Notamacropus eugenii: one gene and its partners. The protein of the gene in region 3 purifies or fractionates together with the protein of the main gene of each other region. This does not show direct contact. Links are inferred from orthologs where the notes say so. Each region holds a gene or a part of one and is shown on either strand. Other genes may lie near its edges. The genes, in order: PRDX1, PRDX2 and PRDX5.

What was found.
Region 1: the proteins of PRDX5 (region 3) and PRDX1 fractionate together in Homo sapiens (co-fractionation; 3 studies listed by BioGRID). This does not show direct contact. The link is inferred for Notamacropus eugenii from reciprocal best matches to the Homo sapiens genes PRDX5 and PRDX1.
Region 2: the proteins of PRDX5 (region 3) and PRDX2 fractionate together in Homo sapiens (co-fractionation; 3 studies listed by BioGRID). This does not show direct contact. The link is inferred for Notamacropus eugenii from reciprocal best matches to the Homo sapiens genes PRDX5 and PRDX2.

Annotation. Positions count from the first base shown.
Region 1 is NC_092873.1:506,673,386-506,680,685, reverse strand, and holds the start of PRDX1 (peroxiredoxin-1), read left to right. Parts: upstream 1-4,267; 5' UTR 4,268-4,533; intron 4,534-6,148; 5' UTR 6,149-6,189; coding exon 6,190-6,295; intron 6,296-7,300. UniProt on the Homo sapiens protein: Thiol-specific peroxidase that catalyzes the reduction of hydrogen peroxide and organic hydroperoxides to water and alcohols, respectively.
Region 2 is NC_092875.1:78,123,665-78,131,572, reverse strand, and holds the start of PRDX2 (peroxiredoxin-2), read right to left. Parts: upstream 3,030-7,908; 5' UTR 2,651-3,029; exon of another isoform or gene 2,647-2,650; coding exon of another isoform or gene 2,627-2,646; exon of another isoform or gene 2,616-2,626; intron 1,951-2,615; 5' UTR 1,949-1,950; coding exon 1,846-1,948; intron 1,691-1,845; coding exon 1,537-1,690; intron 844-1,536; coding exon 721-843; intron 232-720; coding exon 101-231; intron 1-100. Other genes in the region: THSD8 (thrombospondin type-1 domain-containing protein 8), read left to right, coding at 2,627-2,646, 3,079-3,212, 3,637-3,836; RNASEH2A (ribonuclease H2 subunit A), read left to right, coding at 5,796-5,922, 6,273-6,344, 6,466-6,592.
Region 3 is NC_092873.1:17,156,567-17,163,825, reverse strand, and holds the start of PRDX5 (peroxiredoxin-5, mitochondrial), read right to left. Parts: upstream 3,090-7,259; 5' UTR 3,011-3,089; coding exon 2,864-3,010; intron 1,050-2,863; coding exon 915-1,049; intron 594-914; coding exon 462-593; intron 379-461; coding exon 340-378; intron 1-339. Other genes in the region: TRMT112 (multifunctional methyltransferase subunit TRM112-like protein), read left to right, coding at 4,556-4,633, 4,725-4,987, 5,145-5,211; ESRRA (steroid hormone receptor ERR1), read right to left, coding at 6,435-6,700. UniProt on the Homo sapiens protein: Thiol-specific peroxidase that catalyzes the reduction of hydrogen peroxide and organic hydroperoxides to water and alcohols, respectively.

The DNA of each region.
Region 1 (7,300 bases), about 490 Mb from region 3:
AGTCTTATCCCCAACACCCCAACACAAAGACATAAAGACAAAGGTAGAGGAGCAACCTAAGCAGGCAGAGGGTGGAACCAGCTCATACTAAAGTGCAGAAAAGCTGAGAGGTCCAGTTTGTGCTTCTTAAGAAAACTAGAGAAGATTCTAAGCCAATCCAGAGAGTCTCCAATTAACTGCTTTCAGGTAGCATAGCCAGGCACTTCTGGGTGGAAGTTGGAAAAGATAATCCGTGGTGGGAAGATGTCTGGTTTCAAAGACATCCTTGCCTCTTTGGTCTTCACCCACTTAGGAGAATCAGAGCATTTCAGAGGCATTTCTATGCAGAATTCTCCCCTAAAACATGCCCCCTGCAGCCAGTCATCCATCATTCATTGATCCATCCATCAATCCATCATCGATCCACCAATCCATCCATCTATCCATCCATCCATCATCGATCCACCAATCCATTCATCCATCCATCCATCCATCATCGATCCACCCAAGTATGCCCTATTGTTTGGCTCACAATTTCCTTCTTCCTGCTTGCACTGGACTTCCTCCAGATTCCTCAGCTGAAATTTGACTCTTGGTTAATTCCCTGATTGTAAGCTTGAGCTCTCACCCCTGGACATCCCACTTCCCCCACCCATGACCCTACAATTCTACTTCCTCTCCCACCATGAAGCTGTTGAGTCATCTCCTTGGTTCTGAACTGTCAGGATGACTCTGAATCCTGATTATGTGAGCTAACAAAGCCTTCCCAGCTTTGAATGTTCTGAATACTTGGCAGGCATGCCTTCTGTCTTCATCTAAGTCACTGATGACCATCTTGTAGGAGACAAGGCTGAAGAAAAAGCCAGGTGGCTCACCACTAGAGACTGCCCCTCCTGGTTCATACAGCCCCATAAATCAACACCTTTTGGTCCTGTAGGAAAGCAGAAAAGTGGTAGCTGTTGTCCATTCCCAAAGAGGGCCTAAATGACATCATTACATTAGAGTTAAGTTATAGTGTGTCCTACTGTGGCCGATCAGATCAATATGAGCTCGGAATGCTCTACCACAGCTAGGGCACAAACAGTCCATGTGAACATATGGGGTGAATTCTCTACATCTGTGCATCTCAAATTTCTTTTGAGCTACTTCAATTCTACTTCGCTCATAGAGCACAGTGACTTCTCTGACGAGGGCATGCCATGCTGGGTGGTCCTGTGCCAGTGTCCCCTACATCACACAATCAATTCTAAAGTCCTTAAGAGAGACCTTGAAAGTGTCCTTCTATTGCTTCTTCTGACCACCATGTGAGCACTTACCCTCTGTCAATTAATTCTCTGTAAGATAGTCTTTTTGTCCACCTCTATAAAGGTAAAAGAAATAGATTGTCCTGTGACAATCACAGGGGGAACTCTGTCTTACCCATTGCCAGATTCTTTTCAGAGTCCTCCTTAATAGGCTGATGCTTCACCTGGAAGACAGTCATCTGCCTGAGACCCAGTGTGGCTTCAGAAAGGGCTGAGGAACAGTAGATATGATGTTTCCTGCTGGATAACTCCAGGAGAAATGCCAGGAGCAGAACAGAGGTCTGAACACAATGTTTGTAGATCTGACCAAGGCCTTTGATGTTGTAAGTCGTGAGGGCTTATGGAAAATTATGTTAAAATTTGGTTGCCCAGAGAAGTTCATCAGTATTGTACATCAATTTCACAATGGCATGCTGGCTTGGGCTCTGGATAATGGATGATGCTCTTGTGCTTTTCCAGTCACCAAGAAAGTGAAACAAGGCTATGTGCTTGCTCCCACACTTTTTAGCATGAATTTTTCAGTCATGTTAAACCCCTTCAATGAGGATGAACACAGAATCAGGGTGAGATACTGAACTGATGGAAAGCATCAGGGTAAACATCAACAGAGGCAGAAATGGGCATTTGTCAGATAGACAGAGAATATAGGAGGGGGTTTGGGCATCCACAGAAGCCATCTACCAGCAGCCCCTACTTCTAGACCTCTACATGTCACACAGTCTGTCTCCCACTTAAAGATCTCAGGGCACAGAGACTCACTCACTTGCTTAGAGGAGAAATTTCCAACACACCTAGAAATCCCCTCCCCTACCTTCTTTTAAAATCTCTGAAACACATTCCAGACTATTCCCTGGGACACCATGCTGGGTGGGCAAATCAGCTCCCTTTTTATTCCTTTCTCTCTGCTTTTTTTCTAGCCAGAAATGGTTCCCCAAGGGCCAGACCTCCAGAATGACAATGGTGGGAATTCTGGCTCTGGGACCTTCAGCCTTGACCTCTGTGGCTATTAAATGGCGCTGAGGCCCTAGCTACCTCCCAACAGGTTAAGGAGGAGGGAAGGTGAAAGGAGATCATAAATGTGAGGAAACTTTTGTAATCATAAAGGGCCCCCAGCAATGTCGGCAATGACTCCTAATGACGACCCTGAGCTCAGGTTGGAGGCCTTACCTGCTCTTTCTCCCTAGCTATCATTCTCTTTGGTGTCATGGAGACGCCACTGTGAAGGAGGGGGGAGAGGAGGAATGGCACCCTCAGGACAGCATCAGGCTGACTTGGGTTTAAGTCTTATTTCTCATAATCCAGCCTGTGGAAAACTCTGGCGTAAAGGAAGAAGGCTGGAGTAGTGGACTTCTGAGGCCTTCCAGCCACAAGCCTAGAGCCTTCTTCTCCAGCCAAGACCATTGAAATAGCTTTCTCACTGTTCTCCCTGCCTCTGGGAACCTCCCAGGTTCTTGATAATAACCTTGGATATTTCCCACCTTCAGTGTTTCCTCTCTGTCACCCAATCAATCAGCAAGTATTTAATGAGCTCCCTAACTATTTTCGCTCAGCACAGAGAATGAACAGCCCCGGGCGGAACAAAGGCCAAGTAGGGGAGGAAGGGCCACATCCAGGGATGTGGGGGTGGGGACTGAGCCAGGCTCCAGGTGGCACACATCCTATTCGAGCCTCCCACCACCAGGAAAGCCAGCTTCCTTCTCCTGCCACTCCCAGCCCCAGACTCATCGCCCAAGGCTTGCTTCAGCCCCTCCCCCCCTACATTTCCTCAAAGCCCAAGGCACCTAAAGACAAAGCCCACTGAGCCCTCCCCTGGTACTCATTCCCCCATTCATCCTGCTTATCATATAACACTCTACAGAAAGGAGCGCAACCCACACCTGAACAGGAAATCCTTCTACAATATCCTGCACAGGGAGTCACCCTGCCTCTGACTGGAGACCACCAGAGATGGGGAGCTCACTACCTTTCCCAAAGAGTCCCTTCCATTCCTGGCCAGCCCCTAAGGAGAGCAAGGATTTCCTAACACTGAGCCTGAACTGATTTGGCCTCTTTGACGATTCCCCCTCCCCCTCAACTGTTCGGACCAGCAAGGCTGATCTTTGTTCCATATAACAGCCCTTCCCAACATGGAGAACAGCTCTGGTGCTCCCCCTCCCCCCTGTCTCCTCTGAGATTCCCTTCTCCACCAGCAGCAGAATGGAAGGTCCCTGAGGGCAGGGCCCAGTTTCCTTTTTTGCTTTGTAACCAGGTGGCATGCCAGACCCATAGTGGGAGCTTAACCAACTTAGGACAAATTCATTCTCTCCAGTCTCTCCCCATGCCCCACACCCAGCAGGACTCTCACTGAGCTCCCTGATCCTGAAAGCTGGGCCTCTCTTAATGCTGCCCAACGTGCTGACTCAGGCTGGCCAAGCTGGTTCCCGCATGGAAGTCTAGTTTTGAGCCCAAATGTTACACTTGCTGTTTATCCTTAGTGAATTTCACCTTCCATTCAGCTCCACAGCTACGAGCTTGTATTTTCCAGTCCTAGCTCAGGGTGCGTCAGTCAGCCCTCCCAGCTGTGCATCAGCACCCTATGCGATGAGCTCTCATCCACCTGGGCCTCCACTCTGGTCAAGGGGAGAAACGTCGGGCTGCACAGAGCCTTGGGGCACTCCACGGGAGACCTCTGGCTTCTGCTTCTCTTTGTAGTTGTCGGGCAGAGCACGGGGCCCGGGATGCAGCGAGTGCGGGGGCTGTACGGCTGCTGCTATGCGGTTACATTGTTACTTATTAATTGTTACTAATTATCTTTTAAAAAGCTCAGCAGGGCATGTGTCTCATGGCCGCAGGGAGTTCCCAAGCTGCACCGACACCTCGCCAGGGGTTCAGGGGTGTTCCGAGGCAGCCGGGCCGCTGGGAGGGAGAGAGAGAGGCGATCTGTATCGGGGGAGGGATTTCCTGGTCTGAGAGGCCCAGACGTCAGGTGGTGGGGGAGAGGGCCCAGTGAGCGTGATCTGGGGTTGGGGAAGGAGGGGCGTCCTGCCCCCGAACCCCGGAAAAGTGCCGAGTCATGCTGAAGGCGTGGATGAGGAGAGGGAGGGAAGCAGGGAGGAGGCGGGGCTTCAGGCGGCCGGGCCCGCCCTCTGCCGCCCAGCCTCTCGCGAGATCAGGGGCTTATAAAGGCGGCGCTGGGCGCAGCATCCTCGCGCTCTCCAGCTCCTGCTCAGGGGTTCGGCCTTTCTTCGACCTTGTCTGCGGAGCCTAGCTGGTGAGGCCAGGGAGCGGGCACGTCCCCCACGCCACCCCCTCTCTGCCGCCGTGCTGCCCCTCCTCGGGCGGCTGGGGACGGGCGGGGAAGCTCGGGACGTCCTGGGAAAGGCGGACGACCCCCCCAAGGACGCTGATTGGCTGGTGGGGGCGTGTTGGGGAACCTTCGGGTGGGGGGCGGGACTTGAAGTTCTCGAAGCCACATCAGATTGGTGGAATAGAAGCCGGGCCCGGGCGTGGGACAAATGGGGAAACTGAGGCACGGGCTCACCTGCCCCGAAACAGCCTCTTACAGGGACCCCCACGGCCTTCTCTGTTTGGACCGTGGAGGAAACTGGGGCTCCGGGGGGGAAGCGAGGCGCCTGGGGAGGAGCGGGCGGCGGCGGCGACTCTACTTTCCCGCCCTCTCCTCGTGGTTCTCCCCGGTGTGACCGAGGAGGGGGCCCCCCCGGGGAGTGCAGCAGCCCATCGTCCCGGGGTCCCAGCATCGGGAGCCGGGGGCACCGGGGCCCTGGTGCCCCCGAGGGCCTCCATCCTCCTCTCTGGCCACGTGGGCAGCACTGTCGGCCTCCACGGTCCGATGATCGGGAGGGGGTGCGGTGGGCTGCACCCCTGCCTAGGCAGGGTCCTTTCCGGGAGGTGGCCGTGGGGGAAGGGCATTGGAGCAGGGTCCCTCGGGGCTTTTCTGTAAAGTGGGTTCGAAGGGGGTGAACCTCGTTCCGAGAGGGCGCCCCTTCCGCTCTCCGCCTTCAGGCAGCTCGCTGGTGGGTCGGGGATTGGAACGCCGACCCAGCCGTGACCACGGATAAGTCACTTAGCCTCCGTCTGCCTCAGTTTCCCCAACTGTAAGATGGGGATAACCCCCGGTTAGCGCGGATCTCCCCGGGTGTGGGTGTGAGGAGCAGATGAGGTCGGAGTTGTGAAGCGTTTAGCCGAGTGCTGGGCACATAGTGGGTGCCGCAGAAAGCCCCCGTCTCTTCCTCCCCCCTTGTGGATGCGCGCTGGGGTGAGCCCACCCCGAGAGGGCAGGGCAGGGCCGGGGGGGCTTCCGGTGCACCTGGGCTTGGAACCGGCAGCTTCTGCCTGGCTCTGCAGTGATCAGTCTCTCCGAATGGAAATCAGTTCCCCTTAACTCCTAATCTCTGCTTAGCACTGCCCAGAATTTCCAGCCTAGGCCGGAGCGCAAAACCACCCATCTTTCTTCCTTTTTTCCTGGGGACTGGCTGGTTTGGGAGAGGGCCGTAGGGTAGAGGCCCCTCCCCACGAGGAGTCCGGTCTAGCCGGCACAAAACCCTGTTGCCTAATCGGGCTGTGGAGAACTGCTCAGCCCTGGGAAGTTGGAGGGGACTGCCGGGGTTGCTTTCTAGTTTAGGATGGCAGCCAGGACTTTGCTTTCAGAAAATCCTTCATTTTAAGTGACTAGATCTCCTTGTTATATGTGACCAGGAGGGCAGAGGGCTCCAAGGGCAGTAAGATGGTCAGGTGTGGTTCTAGGCTAGTATGTCCCCTTGGTGCCCGGCGAGTCTCTCAGTGCTCCCTAAAAGTGAGCTGCCTCGGGTTGTCTTAGGAGTGGGAAACTTGGTACCTCTCCTGAAGTCACCTCTCTGGTTTTCCAGCCTCATTCCTCTTGGCCCCCAGTTACCGTCATACTGTCAACATGTCTGCGGGCAATGCCAAGATTGGGTTCCCAGCCCCCAATTTCAGAGCTACAGCTGTTATGCCAGATCGGCAGTTCAAAGACATCAGCCTTTCTGATTACAAAGGTGAGTTGAATTGCCCGAGCCTGATTAACATTTCTTGATTAACCAAGTCTCCATAACAAAGGCACCTTTGTGCACTTTCTGCTGAGCTGTTTTTATTTCCTGTCTAGGGCTGAGTGGTGATGTTGCCCCCCCCCACTGCTTATTCCAGGAGAGAATAATACTGTGGCCTATCTCCTTCCCTCCCCATCTGCGCCCAATTCTGATATCAAAGGGCCTTGGATCTCCTCAGATAAAATGGCTGATACCCAGAGGACCTTGGCCAGCCTCTCCTCTGGGGTCTCAGCTGGCTTAGGAAGGTGCTTTCCTTTTTGTGCCTTAACTGAAGGCTCTCTTCAGTGCCCCTCCCCTCAAGGGCTGATGTCTGGGGTGCAGTTGGGTCTCAGAATGGCAAAGGAAGAGGGCCTGGTCACTCAGGCCTGCTGGGTTTTCTGGGTCCCGAAAGTGTCCAGATTGCTTCGCAGCTGCAGCTGCTATTCTGAGCTAAGCCTTGCAGAAGCTGATGAACAGAGAGGCCCGGCGTGGTGGGTTCTGAGCCTTGTGGGCCACAGCTGGTTGGCAGAGGAAAGGGTAGCTGTCATGCCCTTACATACCCGTGTACACACACTACCCTGACCCCAGAGGGAGGATCCTATGAGAGTGCCAGTAGTCCAAGATGCTGCCCTCCCTTGGGCGCTGAGGAACAGGATGGCACTGACAGATTTGTTGGGATAAACAATGTTCCCATTGAGGTTGGCTTTCAGTGGGGACACCAGATGCTCTCCTCGATTCACTTGTGGCTTATAGAACAACCCTGAGCCTTGGCCTTGTTCTACCAGCATGACTCCCTTGGGGTAGAGCCAAGCTTGGTTCCCAGGGTCACTGGCTAGTTTGAAGGCAGCTTCTAAATAACCTCTAAACTCCTTGAGGAATATGAGCATGTGGGCTGCTTATGTCTTGGAGTGAAATCTGCCTCAGGGAACTGATTTTTTTTCTCTGTATCTCAGTAGGGAGTACCTGCCTGGGCTC
Region 2 (7,908 bases), on a different chromosome or scaffold from region 3:
AGGAGACCAGCTCAAGCCTCAATCCATAGGGTAGCCACCTTGGAAGTGGAAAACACACCCAAGGAAGAGTGGGGTAGGATAGGGAATACACAAGACTCACCTTCTCCGTGCTCGTCTGTGTACTGAAATGCTTGCACTAGTCGCAAAGCCTCATCCACTGATCGACCCACAGGCAGGTCATTGACAGTGATTTGCCTGACAAGGCCTTTAGCATCAATGATAAAGAGGCCCCTGAGTAAATGGAGAAGAGCTAGTATAAGACCCTGGAAGTCATCCAGGACTGGGCAACACCATGTTCAGTAGAAAGAAGACTAGATTTTAATTCCAAACCCATTCTTCTGCCACATCTGTAAGGGCTGAGACTTACTTTCTTTTGGGGGAAGTGTCTGGCTCCTAATATTCTATGTCCTCGATCACCTTCCCTCCCCAAGTCTGAATTCAGACTTAGTACTTGTATGACTTTATCTAAGTCCTTTCAACTCTCTCAGCCTCAGCTTTTGTTCCTGCAAAACAAGATTTGATAATATAGCCTCCAAGTTCTCTTCTAGTTCTAAAACCTTGCAACTCCCTGCTGTTTCTACGTAGTTCAAAGATTGTCTGTTTTCATGACTATAAAAGTGGGGGTGGCAAAAACTAAGAACCAGTCAGAATGGTGACTCCTAAATTGTTGATGATCAGGGACAGAGCAAGACATACTTACAGACGGTCCCCCAACCATACCTGTAGGCAATGCCTTCATCCTCCTTCAGTACCCCATAATCTCGAGCGAGGTTTCTGGTTACATCTGCCAGCAGGGGGATTTTCAAAGGACCCAGGCCACCCTGTTTTCGAGGGGTGTTGATCCTTTTTAGGGAGGTTGAGAAAGAAGTGTCCAAGTTACTTACCTCCATGGAGTCCCCTTCTCCCTAATCAGGGACTATCTTTCCTACTCTCCAAAGAAAGGAGCTATCTTCACAGCTCAGAGGCTCCTCCTCCCTTCTCCCCAAGGGCTTGAGCAACAGATTAGGGCTTCCCTAAGAGTCCTGAGTAAGTGATAAAGGGGTTGCAGGCAGGGCTGTCAAAGCCCAAACCTACCACACCCAGGAGGGAGTAGTAAGGCAGGAAGAGAAAGATGCTGTTCTCTATTTCTGAGGAAGATGGAACAGAAAGTACTGCCTAGTATGGTTGAAACAATCGACGAGTGGACATAAGGTATGAAGCCCTGAGTTCAAATGCCAGCTCTGGTACTTGGTGAATCAAAAGCCATTGCTCTTAACTTCTCTAAATCTGTTTTTTTTTCTTTTTCACATGATGGGAGCTGAAAGAAATGTCTTCCAAAGTCCCTTCCAATTCAAATTACTACAAAGGGACCCCAGCAACTCAGCTTTGGAAACCCTTTTGTTCCAATAAGTGTAGTTACAGGGCCACAGGATATTCCCTAGCAAAAGACAGGAGGTGCCAGCCAGTGACACTTCCAGTGGGAGAAGGTGGTAGAAGCACAAAGTCAGATAGGGCAGAGTTCCTTCTCCATCTTCCTTCTCCTAGCCAGAATCATACCAGGCCAGGTGAGTGAATTGGGAATCCACAGACACACCAAGGACTTCGCAGCCCAGCTGACGGAAATCAGAGACCCGATCACTGAAGGCGATGATCTCGGTAGGGCACACAAAAGTGAAGTCCAGTGGATAGAAAAATATGACCAGATACTTCCCTGGAGCGATAAGAATAAAAGGAGTGAGAAGCAGGTGCTGGGGCCCCTTCCCCTACCACTCTCCAGGTGATAGGATCATCTCCTCACACCCTGACTTCCCTCCTCCAGAGGGGAAGGGGCCAGTGTCTCTGACCTCTAAGGTTGTTATCTCTCACCTTTATAGTCAGACAGCTTCACCTCCTTGAAAGCCCCATCGACCACAGCAGTGGTATGGAAGTCAGGGGCCGGTTTTCCAATGTGAGCATTTCCAGAGGACATGACTGGAAAAAGTGATTTTCCCCTTAGGGTCAACCAGGGCACCTGATTCGCATTTCCCCGAGCTGTGCAACCCAGCACCACCTCCCTTCCCCCACTTCCCGAGGCCAGACTGGGCACGTGGGTCAGACAAAGATGGTCACATGCAGCCCCTATCCCTCCCTCCATGGGCTGAACACAAGAGACTTGGGCACACGGGCCAGACTAAGCTAGTCCCATAGGGAAAGGGGGCAATTCAGACCCAGCCCTCCTGCCTCCTCTGCACTGCTCCTACCCCACCAGGGAAACAGGTCTGGGCACCCAGGCACAGGCTGTAAGATCTTTCACCTCCTCCCAGGACCCTTAGTCAGGCTGAGTTAGGCCTCAAGAGCAGGAACAAAGAGACGTCTAGATTTCTCTCAAGGTTCAGTTTCCCTGCTGAGTAGGGGACAGGTGGAGGAGAATTCACCTGGGCTCTCAGTTCCTAATAGCCCACAAAGAACAAAGGCAGGGATGGGGGGGGCGGGGAGGAACGTTTCTTGCTCCATGCAGAGGGAAGGACCAGGACAGTAGCAGATTAGCATAGAACACAATCTGTCTGGATAAAGGGGAGTCACAGGCTGCCTCTATTGCTTCCCACTCCCCTAGCCTAGAACTGGCCCGGCCCAGAAGGACCTGCATCGCATTGTACCTTACCGCACCATGCCGCACTGCACCGTACTGTACCTGCAAGAAGGGCGGGCTCCGAGCCTACAAAGATAGCGCGTGTTACTAGACCGCAACAGTAGCAGTCTGGAAACCAAAAGCCGAATCCAAGAGGCCGCCGCCCGCGCCTTTTATCCGCGGCCTGTACCACCTAAAGCCAGACCGTGGGGGGGAGGGGGGGTAGAAGACGAGGAGGAGTTGGGAGGGACGTATGGGAACGAGCCTGGGGGAGGACGCGACACGCCTGGGCGGGCCTACTGATGCGTCGTGGGGGGTGTGGGGTGGGGGGCGAGAAACCTGAATATACCGAAGCTGAGGGGCGGGGGCCGCTGACCTCTTCCCTCCCCCTTGTCCACTCCTCTCGCCTGTCCCTCCTGATGAGCAGCTCGGATAACGGAGCGCAGGGAGAACCTTGGACCAGCGACTAACAGCGGTTCAGGGGGCTACTGAATAGAGAAGGAGGGGGCCGTGGATGACCAGACTGCCCCTGAGATTGCTCCTGCTCGGCCCCGAACCTGCCCAGGCCCAGACCATCACTATTTCGGAGAACAAGGCTCTGGGGATTCTTGGGAGACAGAACTGGGTAAAGAGTGAGATGCCTTCAACCCCCAGAGCCTCCAGACTTGATCTCCCCAGATGTTACACATCAATGAGCAGTAACTCAAGGAGTCTTCCATTGGTGGGGCGGGGCACGGGGAGCGTGCAGGTTTACTCAGAAGAAACTCAGAAGCACTCATATACAGTGCACTGGCCCTGAAATCGTACCCCTCTCCTTAGCAAAGATTTACAACCCCCCATCCCACGCACACGCACAAGTATACACATATCACCCCCCACAATGAAATCTGCCAGGATTTCTCCCCGGGTCCTATTACTCAATTCAACAGATATTGTTAAGACGCTTGGCATATTGGGAAGTATCCCAGTCAAGCCTGGAAATTTCAGATGGTAGAAGAAACCCTGTCAAGGTTCAGGCTCCCTGGCTGACTGATGTTTTCTTCCCCCAGAGCCAGGAGAATTGCCACTGGGTCCATGGGGCCCCTGGACCTGCCAGTGTCTCCTGGGAATTCAAGAGCGGAGGCAGGATGTGATGGGCGCATCTGCAGCACCTGTATTTCTGGACAGGGAGAGCCTCCTGCAGCACCAGCCCTGCAGTTATAACAACTGTCCTAGCAGCTCACCAGGCCAGTGCAACCGGAGGGTTTGAGGACACAGAGTGAGCATGGCCAAAAGCAAACTCCAGAACCCAGAGAAGGAGAAAGGAAGATAGAAAACTCAAGGAGACTTGAGGCCCTGTGTGTGTACATTACCATCCCAGCTGGGTTTGGGGTAAGGAAGAGAGAAGCATCTGAACTTGGGAAAGGGGTATCCTGAGAGGGAGGGGCCCTAGAGCTGGGGATTCCTGGGATGATATCACCCTTGTCTATCTGCAGCATGTGGGGTGCAGGTTTTCCCCTGAGGCCTACCCTACCCTGAATACTTTGAAGATCAGAATGTAATCATCTCTATTATTGCTGTTGTTATTAAAGATAATTTTAAACCTTGCGGTAAAGCCACTCCAGCAGGTCCAGGAAGATGCATAGCCACACCTACTACATGCCACAGCTCAAGGAAGAATCAACTGGAGGGAAGCCTACCAGCTTGGGCCTCAGGAGGCAGATCCTAGTTCTATGGGGGCAGGGCCTACTCTACTAAGAGAGGCCCTTAGTGCTCGGAGACAGCAGAAGTGGAAAAGATCATGTTTGCTGAGATGGCCTCATCCTAGTGGTGCTACCTTAGATTTTTCCTTATTTCCTAGTAAGGCCTTCAAATAGTAGTTCTTACTGCTGCTATTTTTCTGGAGGCCTGGACAGAAATGTTTGATCCGATGAAAAGAATACTAGTCTATTGTTACTGAGTCATTTCAATTGGGTCCAACTCTTGGTGACTCCATTTGGGGTTTTTTTGGCAAAGATACTGGAGTGCTTTTCCATTTCCTTCTCTTGCTCATTTTACAGATGAGGAAATTGAAGCAAACAGAGTTAAGTGACTTGCCCAGGATCACACAGCTAGAAAGTGTCTGAGGCCAGATTTGAACTCACAAAGATGAGTTCCTGACTCTATCCATGCACTTTATCCACTCCATTTGGACACCTAGCTGCCTCCCAGAATGAGCCAAAAGAACTGGTTTAGAATCCTAGCCATATTTAATAGCTTTGTGACACTGGGCAAGTTCTTTCCCTTTTCTGGTTCTCAATTTCCCCCTCCTGTAAAATGAGAAGCTTGGACTAGATCAATCCAATGAATGATTAGTCAATCAGTAAACATTTATTAGGGAGAAGCAGAAAATACAAACAAAAATGGAAGTCCCTGTCCTCAAGAATCTTATAGTCTATGGGGGGGAGTGTGTTTAACACATATGTATGTATGTAATACACATATAGCATATGTGTATATATACGTATGTATATAAAAAGTTAATGCAAGATTAATTCGTTGGAGAGAGGGTAGAAAGCACTAACAGAGTTAGGGAATCTGGCAGGATCTCATGTAGGAGAAGGTGTTTGGGCTGACTTGTGAAGCTAAAGATTCTAAGAAGTAAAGGTGAGGAAGGACCGCATTTCAGGGCTGTGTAAACTCAGGGGAGATAGGATAGGTCATGTGTGAGGGACAGAAGAAAGTAAGCCAGTTTGGATGGCTGTCCACAAAGTATAAAAAGCTTGGAAAGGTAGATGTCAGGTTGTGAAGGGCTTTAAATTGCAAAGGAGTTTGTATTTTGTAACTGAAACAATAGAGAGCCTCTGGAACTCTTTAAACAGGGCTGTGTCTTGGTGTGTGTTAAACAGGCAAATGACTTCTTGGAAACAGAGATCTTCAGTTAGTCAGTAGTCAGTCAAAAAGCATTGCAGATAGATAACTGGTGGATGATGATCAAAGGGAGGGAGCATCATGCTTAAGAGGAGAGATTGGATCGGATGGGTTTTGAGCTCCCTCCCAGTTCCTGAAATTCTAGGACGCACGGCTAGGTGGCGCTCTTGCTGATGAACTACAAGTCCCAGAAAGCTACGAGGACGAACAGCAAGTTCAGGATTGGCTTGGAGGTTTCCGGGGGCGGGAAGCCCGCCTGGATCCGCGCATTTGCGGGATCTCCCAGCCAGTGTCCAAGACCGCTTGGCTTGCTGCGAGCATGGATCTGGGGGAGTTTGAGCGGGACAACACAGGCAGCTGCCGTCTGAGCTCGCCGGTGCCGGAGCTGTGCCGCACCGAGGCCTGCTGCCTGGGCATTGATGAGGCCGGCCGGGGGCCTGTTCTGGGTGGGAGTGGGTGCCAGCGTGCTGGGGGAGGAGGAGAGTGGGGGTGGGGTTGCCCGGGGGTGAGGGTGGCCTTCGGGCTAGGGGGTATTGTTGCACCAGGGCTGTGGGGTGTATCGGTTGTAGGAGGGGTGGGCTCCGAGCCGGGGGCGGTTTGCTGAGGGGTTGGGGGTTGCCCCAAGGTGGGCACTTCTTAGGGGTGGCAAATTGCCTGGCGGTGGGCCCTGGTTGTTGAGCAGTTGGACCAAAGGATTGCTTCGGGGTTGGGCCGTGGTTGGAGAGTAGGTTCTGGGCTGTGGGAGTCAAGATCCGGGGTCTGGAGGCATCTGACTCTACCTGTCCCCTTTTGCCAGGCCCTATGGTCTACGGCATCTGCTTTTGCCCCTTGTCCAAAGTGGGCGCCCTGGAGGCTCTGAAGGTGGCAGGTGAGTGCTGCACGGATGGCTTTCCAGGGGCTGTGGGGTGAGGGGGTGAAAGGTGGGGAAGGATTGTGCCCCTGTGACTAAGCCTCTCCTCCTTGCACTTCTCCCTTTTCCACACTGCCAGACTCAAAGACCCTGTCGGAGGCGGAGAGAGAGAGACTCTTTGGGAAACTAGATCAGGCCCGGACCTTTGTGGGCTGGGCCTTGGACATTCTGTCCCCGAACCTCATCTCCACCAGCATGCAGAGGCGGTGAGAGGCTGTTTGTGGGTGGGCAGCAAATTGACTCCTGTGCCACTCAATGTGAGTAGGGGCAAGAACACTAGATTTCAGGGCACAGGATCTCAGAGCTGGAAAGGGATCTCGGGGATCATCTTCTAGCCCAATACATACCTCACCCAACATCCCCCTCCATGGAGTGGTCACCCATCCTTTGCTTGCCGGCTTCAAGTAGGGTAAAACTTACTCAACCCTGGCTGAGGAAACCCATTTCCCTTTTGTATAGCTCTAATTGTTAGAAGGTGCTTCCTTAGATTGACTACACAATTAAGGATTATTGGTTCAGAGCTGAAAGGGATCATAGAGGCCATCAACTTCCTTCATTTTACAGATGAAAAAGCATTTTTTCTGTGTGAAGGCAATGGAAGTTAAGTGACTTGCCTAGGGTCATGCAACTAGTTTCAGAGCTGGGATTTGAACTCAAGTCCTCTTGACTCCAGGACTGGCACTCTATCTACTCTGCCACCTAGCTGCCTCCAGACAAAGCACAGAGAGGTTAAATGCCCATGTGTGCATGGTCACATAGGTGTGAAGTTTTATTTCGTTAAATATTTCTCAATTACATGTAAATTTTTTTTAACATTTTTTTAAATTTTGAGTTCCAAATTCTCTCCCTCCCTAATCCTTGAGAAGGCAAGCAATTTGATAGAGATATGTTATATGTTGATATTGTATATATGTATAATATATGTATATATATGTAGGTTAGCTATGAAGTTTCTGAGATGACATTTGTACCCAGTTTTTCCTGACTGAGAAAAGTCCTCTGTCTACTCCAAAGTGGCTCACTCTCATCTCATTTAGTCCTTCTTCCTCTATAGCCTTCGAAATATAGTAAGGTCTCCAAAAGACCTGAGTTTGAATCATAGGGTCATAGATTTAGAGCTGGAAGAGACCTCAGAGGCCTCCTCATCTTACAAATAAGTGAAATAGCACTCAGGGAACTCTTAACTTCTTGCTTGTAAATGTCAGAGCCAGGATTGAAAAACCCAGATCTTCTTGCTTTTCAATTTCAGTACTCTCTTCACTCCACAATATTGCTTCCCATCTTCCCCCACTTACTAGCTATGTGACTTTGAACAAGTTCCTTTCCCCTTTCTGGGCCTCAGTTTCTCCCACTATTAAAAGAGTGAGATAATTGGCTGATGTCTAAAGTCCTTTCCAGCTATAAATCCAGTGAGGTTTCAAGACTCAGCCTTAGAAAGGCAAAGTCATATCAGGCTCACGTTAGGCGGTGGGAATCCTTAAAATAAGTATCCTTAACAAGGATATGTAATTGCCCCTCAATA
Region 3 (7,259 bases):
GAGAGTGGAGGAGATGACCAAATGGGGGAGCGAGGCCAACGTCACCAAGAGTGCCCCCCCTCTCCAGAAGACTGGCCCCTTTCCATCACCAAAATCAAACCTCCTTGCCACTTGGCAGCTGAAGCCCTGATTTCTTAGGAAACTATTCCAGTCATTTCACAAGCACCAAGAGGAGAGAGGAGAAGGGACGGGTTCAAGGTCATACAGCCAGGAGGTAACTGAACTGGGATGAGGACCCAAATCATCTGACTCCCTCTGCCTAAGCCTGCCTCTCCCAGCACCGAGCCAGGCCCCAGTTTTCAGTTGTGCTGGTCCCCAACAGTGACAGCAAACATTTACCTTCCCAAAGGCCCCGGTGGGGTCAGCCAGGAGCCGAACCTGGAGACAGAAGGATGGGGAAGGGGTCAGCACCCTGGGCCCCTCCTCTCATTCAGCCCCTGCCCCCTCCCCCAGGGCCTCACCTTGCCCGAGGCTTTTTGTGACAGGCCCCACTCACTGACCACGAAGACGTCATTGACACTGAGGCAGGCTACCACCTCAGCCCCTCTGGACTTCAGGGCATCAGCCTGCTCCACAAAGCCAGGCAGGTGAGTCTGGGGAAGGAATGCGCAGGGGTTAGGAGCCCCACATCCTTTCTCACCCTTCCTTCTCCCAAACCCCCAGCTATTCTAGGCTGCTCCCCCTCATTCCCCTTGAATCTACCAGGACCTCAGAAAGGTGCCATTTTCACTCACAAGAGAGTGAGAAGGGGCTTCAGAGGTCATCTTACCTAGCCCATACATTACCAGCCGCTCCCTCTTCAATTTCCCAAATAAGGAGTCATCCATCCTCTGGCAACAGGGACCTCAATACCCCAAGGCAGCTCACCTCACTTTGAGACAACTAGGTTCTAGCATTGGGCTTTATTCTCCTACCTTGGAACAGCCTGGTGTGAAAGCTCCGGGCACCCCAAAGAGTACTCCCTTCTTGCCTTTGAACAGCTCTGCCAGGTTCACCTTCTTGCCTGGATCTCCCTCAAATACCTCCACAGATGGAAGGGCATCACCCACCTAGGGGAGAAGGCTCAGAGCTAGAAAGAAGCCAGACCCTGATGGGAAGTCAGGACCGGGTTCCCAGTCTCTGTGACTGGGGCTCCATCCTGCCAGTGGAAAGGGAAATTCCCAGGTCAGTTTCCTGGTCCCTTCCCAAGGACAGCTGGATCACCCCACAGCCCATCCCCACCCAAGCAGGCTCTAAATTTCCTGAAAGTTATGATCCCTCCCTTGGGCATATGGAGGACGATTGGTGACGGAAGTTTTTTCTGTGGCCATGCAGGTGTTGCATCACCCAGAAGAACAATTTCTGTGGGGCAAGACCAAAGCCTGTGTTCTGGGAAAGGAGTGGGATGGGGAGGGGCAGGGCAGAAAGACTACAGTCTGGAAGAAAGAGGGCAAAGTCTGACCAGAGTCTGGGATTTGCCCTGTGGAGTCCCCTGCAGAATATGGGGCTTGGAATAAGACACAGGCACCAGGATTCCTGGCTTTGGCAAGGGGGTGGGGGTAGGGTGGGAATGGGCTCCAAGATGATGGGGCCATATCTCCAACTCTCCAACTCAACTCTGTGTCTAAAACTCTCTCTCTCTCTCTCTCTCTCTCTCTCTCTCTCTCTCTCTCTCTCTCTCTCTCTCTCTCACACACACACACACACACACACACACACACACACACACACACACACACCAGTGAAATAGATCCAAACCTCAGGGGTGGGAGCGAGCATTTCAGTCCAGAGGCACAAACTGGGGAAAAGGAATCCGTTAATTCTCTAAGTAACTGAGAGTAGTGGCTCCGGGCACTGTAGGGATTCAGACACCTGATGAGAAGGGGGGGGTCCTAGTCTCTACCACCCAAATCACAGATCTGAGGGGCTTGGGGCTGAATGAATCTGTCTGAACTTCAGCAGCTGGAGGAGGAAGAAGAGACCCTGGGGTCGATAAGGGATTCCATATGAGGAGTCAGTCTACATGGGGTTTGGGCTAGACCAGATGGGACATCAATCCATAATGGGGGTGGGAGGTGGTCAGTTCATCAGGAGAGGATCAGGCCACAGGAAGAATCACTCGGTATAGGGGATCCCCAGGCTACACTGGATGAGGGTGGGGCTAAATGGGTGGTCAATCCAGGCAAAATTCCTCCTTTTTGAGAGGCTCAGCTCCTTAAGCAAATCTGTGCAAAAAATCTATGTTAAAACCCAGTTCGGATGTGCACTCCCTATACCATCCCTGGCAAATCCCTACTGCCCTGGACCTCAGTTTCCTCATCTATAAAATGAGAAGCTTAGCTCCAGTCAGTCAATCAAGAAGTACTCACTCCCTAAGCAGCCCCAGCTATGGGCCAGGCACTCACAAAAGGGAGACGACCCCCAGTCTATGATCCTATGGAACCATTCCATGGGGGAGATGCCCAGGCCCGAGCAATGAGGAACTGCCTATATTCATCATCAATTAATAATGGGGAGAGGCTCAGGTCAGGGAGGGGACCCCTCCATGGTCTGTCCACAAAGAGGGGGCTGCATAGGGCTGAGGAAGGAGGATGGGCAGAAGGGAATCATTCCATAAAAGAGGTCCCTGGGTTATGGAGAGATGAGTCCACATGATGGGGGGGGCGTCGTTCGCATGGGGGTGTCTAGAATATGGGGGGACCGATGGGGGGATCAAACAGTATAGTGGGTCACTAACAGGAAGGGTCACTGGGGGTGTCGGTCCATGAAGCGGGTCCCTAACATGGGGATGATTGGGGGGGGCGGTCAGTTCTCGGGGGCAGAGGGGTCGGTCCCGGGGGGTTGGGGCGGGACAGCCAAGGTCAAGGTCAACGCCGAGGCTCACCTTGATCGGGGCCATGGTTGCAGAGGCGCTGCGTAGGGTGCGAACCGACGCGACAAGGAAGGTCTGGGCGGCGGTGGCAGTTCTCGACGCCCCTTTAAGAACGTGCCCAGCGCGGCGCCCGAGGTAGAGCAGCCCGGCCAGCCCCATCCCCGCCCGGCTCTGAGTACGGCCCGCCCCCGGATGAAGCTCCGCCCCTGGCAGCAGCCCCGCCCCTGCAGAGGCTCCTCATTTGCGTGAAGGGGCGTGGTCGAACGATTGCGAGCCACTCAGCGACCGGGAGTGGAGGGGTTGGGAAGGGGCGGGCAACTCCACGAGACAACCTGTAAATTTGTACGGAGCCGCCGGTTGGGGCAGAGTGGGGGAGGGCGGGAATCGCCCTTCTTATTGGCGAAGCGCCGAAGGGGGCGGGGCCGAGCCTCTGAGGGGCTCGCCGCTCATTGGCCCGGCTGCGCAGTTCTTTCTCCCGAGATTGCCCAGGCGGCGGAGTGTCGTAGCGGCTTAGCGTGTGACCGACTTGTGGCGTGGGAGGAGGCTGAGCCTGGCTGAGCCCAGGTACGGGCCGTGAACGAGCCCCAAGCGCTTCGGTGTCACTGTTGCCATCCTCCCCATGCCTGCTCGCCCTCCCCGTGGCGCCCCCTCTCCGCCGGGAGCCCCAACCTGAGGCCGTCCCTCCTCGGCTCCCGTCCCCCAGGCTCCCTCGGCCCCTCTCTCCTTCCTGCCCGACTCTCCGTGACCCCAGTTGGGGTTTTCTTGGCAGAGATGCTGGAGTGCTTTGCCAGTTCCTTCTCCGGCTCATTTTACAAAGGGGGAAACGGAGGCAAACGGGGTTAGGTGTCTTGCTCAGGGTCACACGAGGCTGGATTAGAACTCGCTGTTCTTGACTACGCGCCTGGCACTGCACTCCGCCACTAGCGACCTCTCTAATAAATTAGCACCTTCCTCCTGAAATGGTTGTGAGGATCAAATAAGGCCCTATTTGCTGAGACCTTAGCCCCCCACTGCCTCCTGGGTCATCTCCAATCTGGCTGAGAAAGCCAGGCTGGTGGCTGCACAGCCCTGCCTCCCTTAAAGCCAGTTCACGTGCATGTCCTAGCGTCACTCCCTGACGTCTCGGTCCTCCGAGAACGAAGGACACCGCAAAGCACGCAAGCAGTGTAAACGCTCCCATTCGGTCCTCACGACCACCCTGGGAGCCGGGGATGAGGAAACTGAGGCTGGGAGACATTGAGTAACTGGCCGGTGTCAGAAAGGATTCGAACTCGACAATTCTCTGCCGGGTTCCCCCGCACACTCTCCACTCCGCCACCTAGCGGCAAACACGTGTTTGCGCAGAGATACCTCCGCATGATCTCGGACGCGGTGCAAGGTGCATGAGGACGCATGCGCGCACTGGCGCGCTCGCGATCAGTACCGCGAAGCTTAGCCCCGGGCTGCAGCGCGGATGCATCTGCGCATGCGCATCTGGCTCTAACTCGTTATTTGCATCTGGGGGCCGGAAATAAAAGCCGGGAGGCAGCAGCAGTTCCCGCAACATCCTGTTTGGGGAGGGCTGCCCCGCCTCTTCCGGAAGTGGCCGGAGGAAAGAGAGGGATTCTCGAGAGGGTGGGAGGAGAAAGCAAGAGGAGACGGAAGTGACGTAGGCAGGGCGCCGACCTGATTCCGGTTCCGGTGCGGGTGCGCGCGCAGGTTGGGATGAAGCTGTTGACCCACAACTTGCTGAGCTCCCACGTGCGTGGGGTGGGGCCCCAGGGCTTCCCGCTACGCATCCAGGTACCCGAGGCGGAGTGGGCCGGGGGGGGTGCGGGGTGACGGGCCCCACCCGGCCCGCGGCCCGCGTGACAACCCTGGCGTGTCCCCCCAGGCCACCGAGGTCCGCGTGAGCCCTGTAGACTTCAACCCGGACTTCGTGACGCGCATGATCCCCAAGATGGAGTGGACGGCGCTGGTGGACGCGGCCGAGAGCGTGAGCGCCCTCGCACGCCCCCTCCCCCCACCCCCAGTTTCCTCCTCAGTAACAGGGGACCCCGCCCCGCTGCGCCCCGGGTTTGTCAGGCAGCGGCGGGAGGCCCGGGCCTGTACCGGTTTGTGCCGGCTTACCTCCCGGGGCCTGCTGGGTAGAGAAAGGTAACGGCCGCGAGACCCGGGTCCCAGGGCACTCGGGGACTGGGCAGGCGGTGTCCGCGGTGCGGGGATCCCCAGGGCCCCACAAGGGTTCCCGGTCCCGGGGTCCAGGGCGGAAGGGACCCTGGCCCGTAACCCGAACGACCTGTGCCCCCTCCAGCTGGGGCACCTGTCCGAGCTGCCCCGGCAGCTGGCCGAAGGCTACGAGAAGGACGAGGACTTCCTGAGGAAGGCGCACCACGTCTTGTTGGAGGTGAGGCTCGGCCTGCGCGCTGCCCCTCCAACCCTGGGCGGGCGGGCCGGGCCCTGCTCATGTTGTGCTCATCCCGCAGGTGGAGGTGGTGGAGGGCACCCTGCAGTGCCCGCAGTCCGGACGCCTGTTCCCCATCAGCCGAGGGATCCCCAACATGCTGCTGAGTGACGAGGAGGCCACGTCCTAGGCCTCAGAGCTCTCCTCCTCCCCAGTCCCTTTTTAGGCCTGTTCATCCAGGCTGAGCTGCGGTCATTTTCCCCTCCACCTCTGCCCCCCACACCACACAGAGCCCTGGGGATGGTATGATCGCTGTTATATTTTTTTTTCCTCATTAAAGGTTCAAAACTGAACGCGTTTTTTTTTTCTTTGCAGCAAATATACATTAAAATAGAGTCTCTGTACAGCTCTGTTCCCCCACGCAGCCCTGGGAGGAGGCAGCCCAGGCCCTACCCCAGTGGCCCCTGCTCCTCCCTTCAGTCCAAACCTAAAAATAAATATAGTGTTATTGCTATGCAGGGGATAGAGTAGATGCTGCGGGGGCCCCCCTCCCCTCCCCAGGGGTCCGGGATCATCCCTTGGCCCAGCTCCAGGGGCAGGTTGGGGAGGGAGAGAGGAACCAGCTCTGATTTATTGCTTTAAAGGGGAGAAGGATTGGAGTTTGGGGGCAGTAATAATGCCCAGTATAAATGGCAAGGAGGGAAGGGTTCGGGGGTCCTTGCTCTCCAGCCCCGGCTCTGCTAGAGGGGGAGCCAGGCCCCTGGGGATGGGCCAAGCAGCAGCAAAAAAAGCATTAACCGAAGGGAAAGCTGGGGCCCCTCAACTCTTCCCTCCCTGAGATCTCTTACCTCTCCCCTGATACCCCAGTTTCCCCAGCAGCCCCCCTTTATGGCTTCCACAAGGCCCCCCCAACCCTGGGGGTAGATTATGGCTTGTGAGGGGCAGTGCTTCCCCCTAGTGGTTGGAGCAGCACTGCCTAGCCTCACTCCTCTAGGTGCCTATGGAAGGGAGTAGGGTGGGCATGGGCCTGGTTCCCATGGGCTGTTGGCATTGCCCTGGCACTGCCAGCAGGCTGTGGGCACTGCCCATGCCCTCCCCTGGGCTTCTGGGGTTCAACCCTTCCCCCCCACCCCTGCCGGTCCTGCCAGCACCACCCCCCCCAACCCGAGCATGTCCACAAGACCAATAGCCTTCCCCCCATCAGTCCATCATAGCCTCCAGCATCTCCAGGAAAAGCTTGTGCATGGGGACCTTCCCCTCCAGCTTCACCCCATAGAAATGGGCCAGCACTTTGCCCGCCGTCTGGCGAAGGAGGGGGAGAGTGAGCAGCAGCCTCCCAGCCCTGCGGCGCTCAGCTCCCCCACCAGGGCCCCCACCAGCACGCCCAGCTTCGTACTCCAACAAGGCTTCATGCAAGGCTTCCCGTAGCTGTTCCACAGCCTCAGCATCTTCTATGTGCACTGAGTCTGGGGAGGGAAGAGCTCAGTTCAGTGGGTGCTAACCTGCCCCTACCCCTGCCCTCCAAGGAGCCCACCTGGTTCCACTCTGCTTTGCTTCTAGGGGGAACCTGAGACGCAGAGAATCCAAGGAGATAATGTGGGTCCAAAACAGAAGTCAGCTAGGACTAGACCTATCTGGGTTCTCCAGGGCATGGGGTAACACAGTGGAGACAGAGATTCAAATCCTGCCTGCTCCCCTTAGTCTGTGGTTCAGGCAAACTCAATTCTCTTTTCAGTGCCTCAGTTGCCTTATGTGTAAGATTGGGGCTGGCTAAAATGATGCCTAAGGTCCCTCCCAGCTCTGACCTCAGTGAGCAAAACCAGGGAGAGCACTTTGTGGGCAGCCCCAGGTCAGCCCAGGAGGCTCAGCTCCCCTCCCCCTGTGGGAGCCCCTTGGAGCTCACCTCTCTGTCACCTACACTCAAGGGTTGCTGGGAGGACCATGGGGTACATCCACCTCTGGAGCAGAGGGCTATGGCACTCCTCGACCTCCAGCTCACCCCAGCTGCTCCCACCCCCCTTCCCT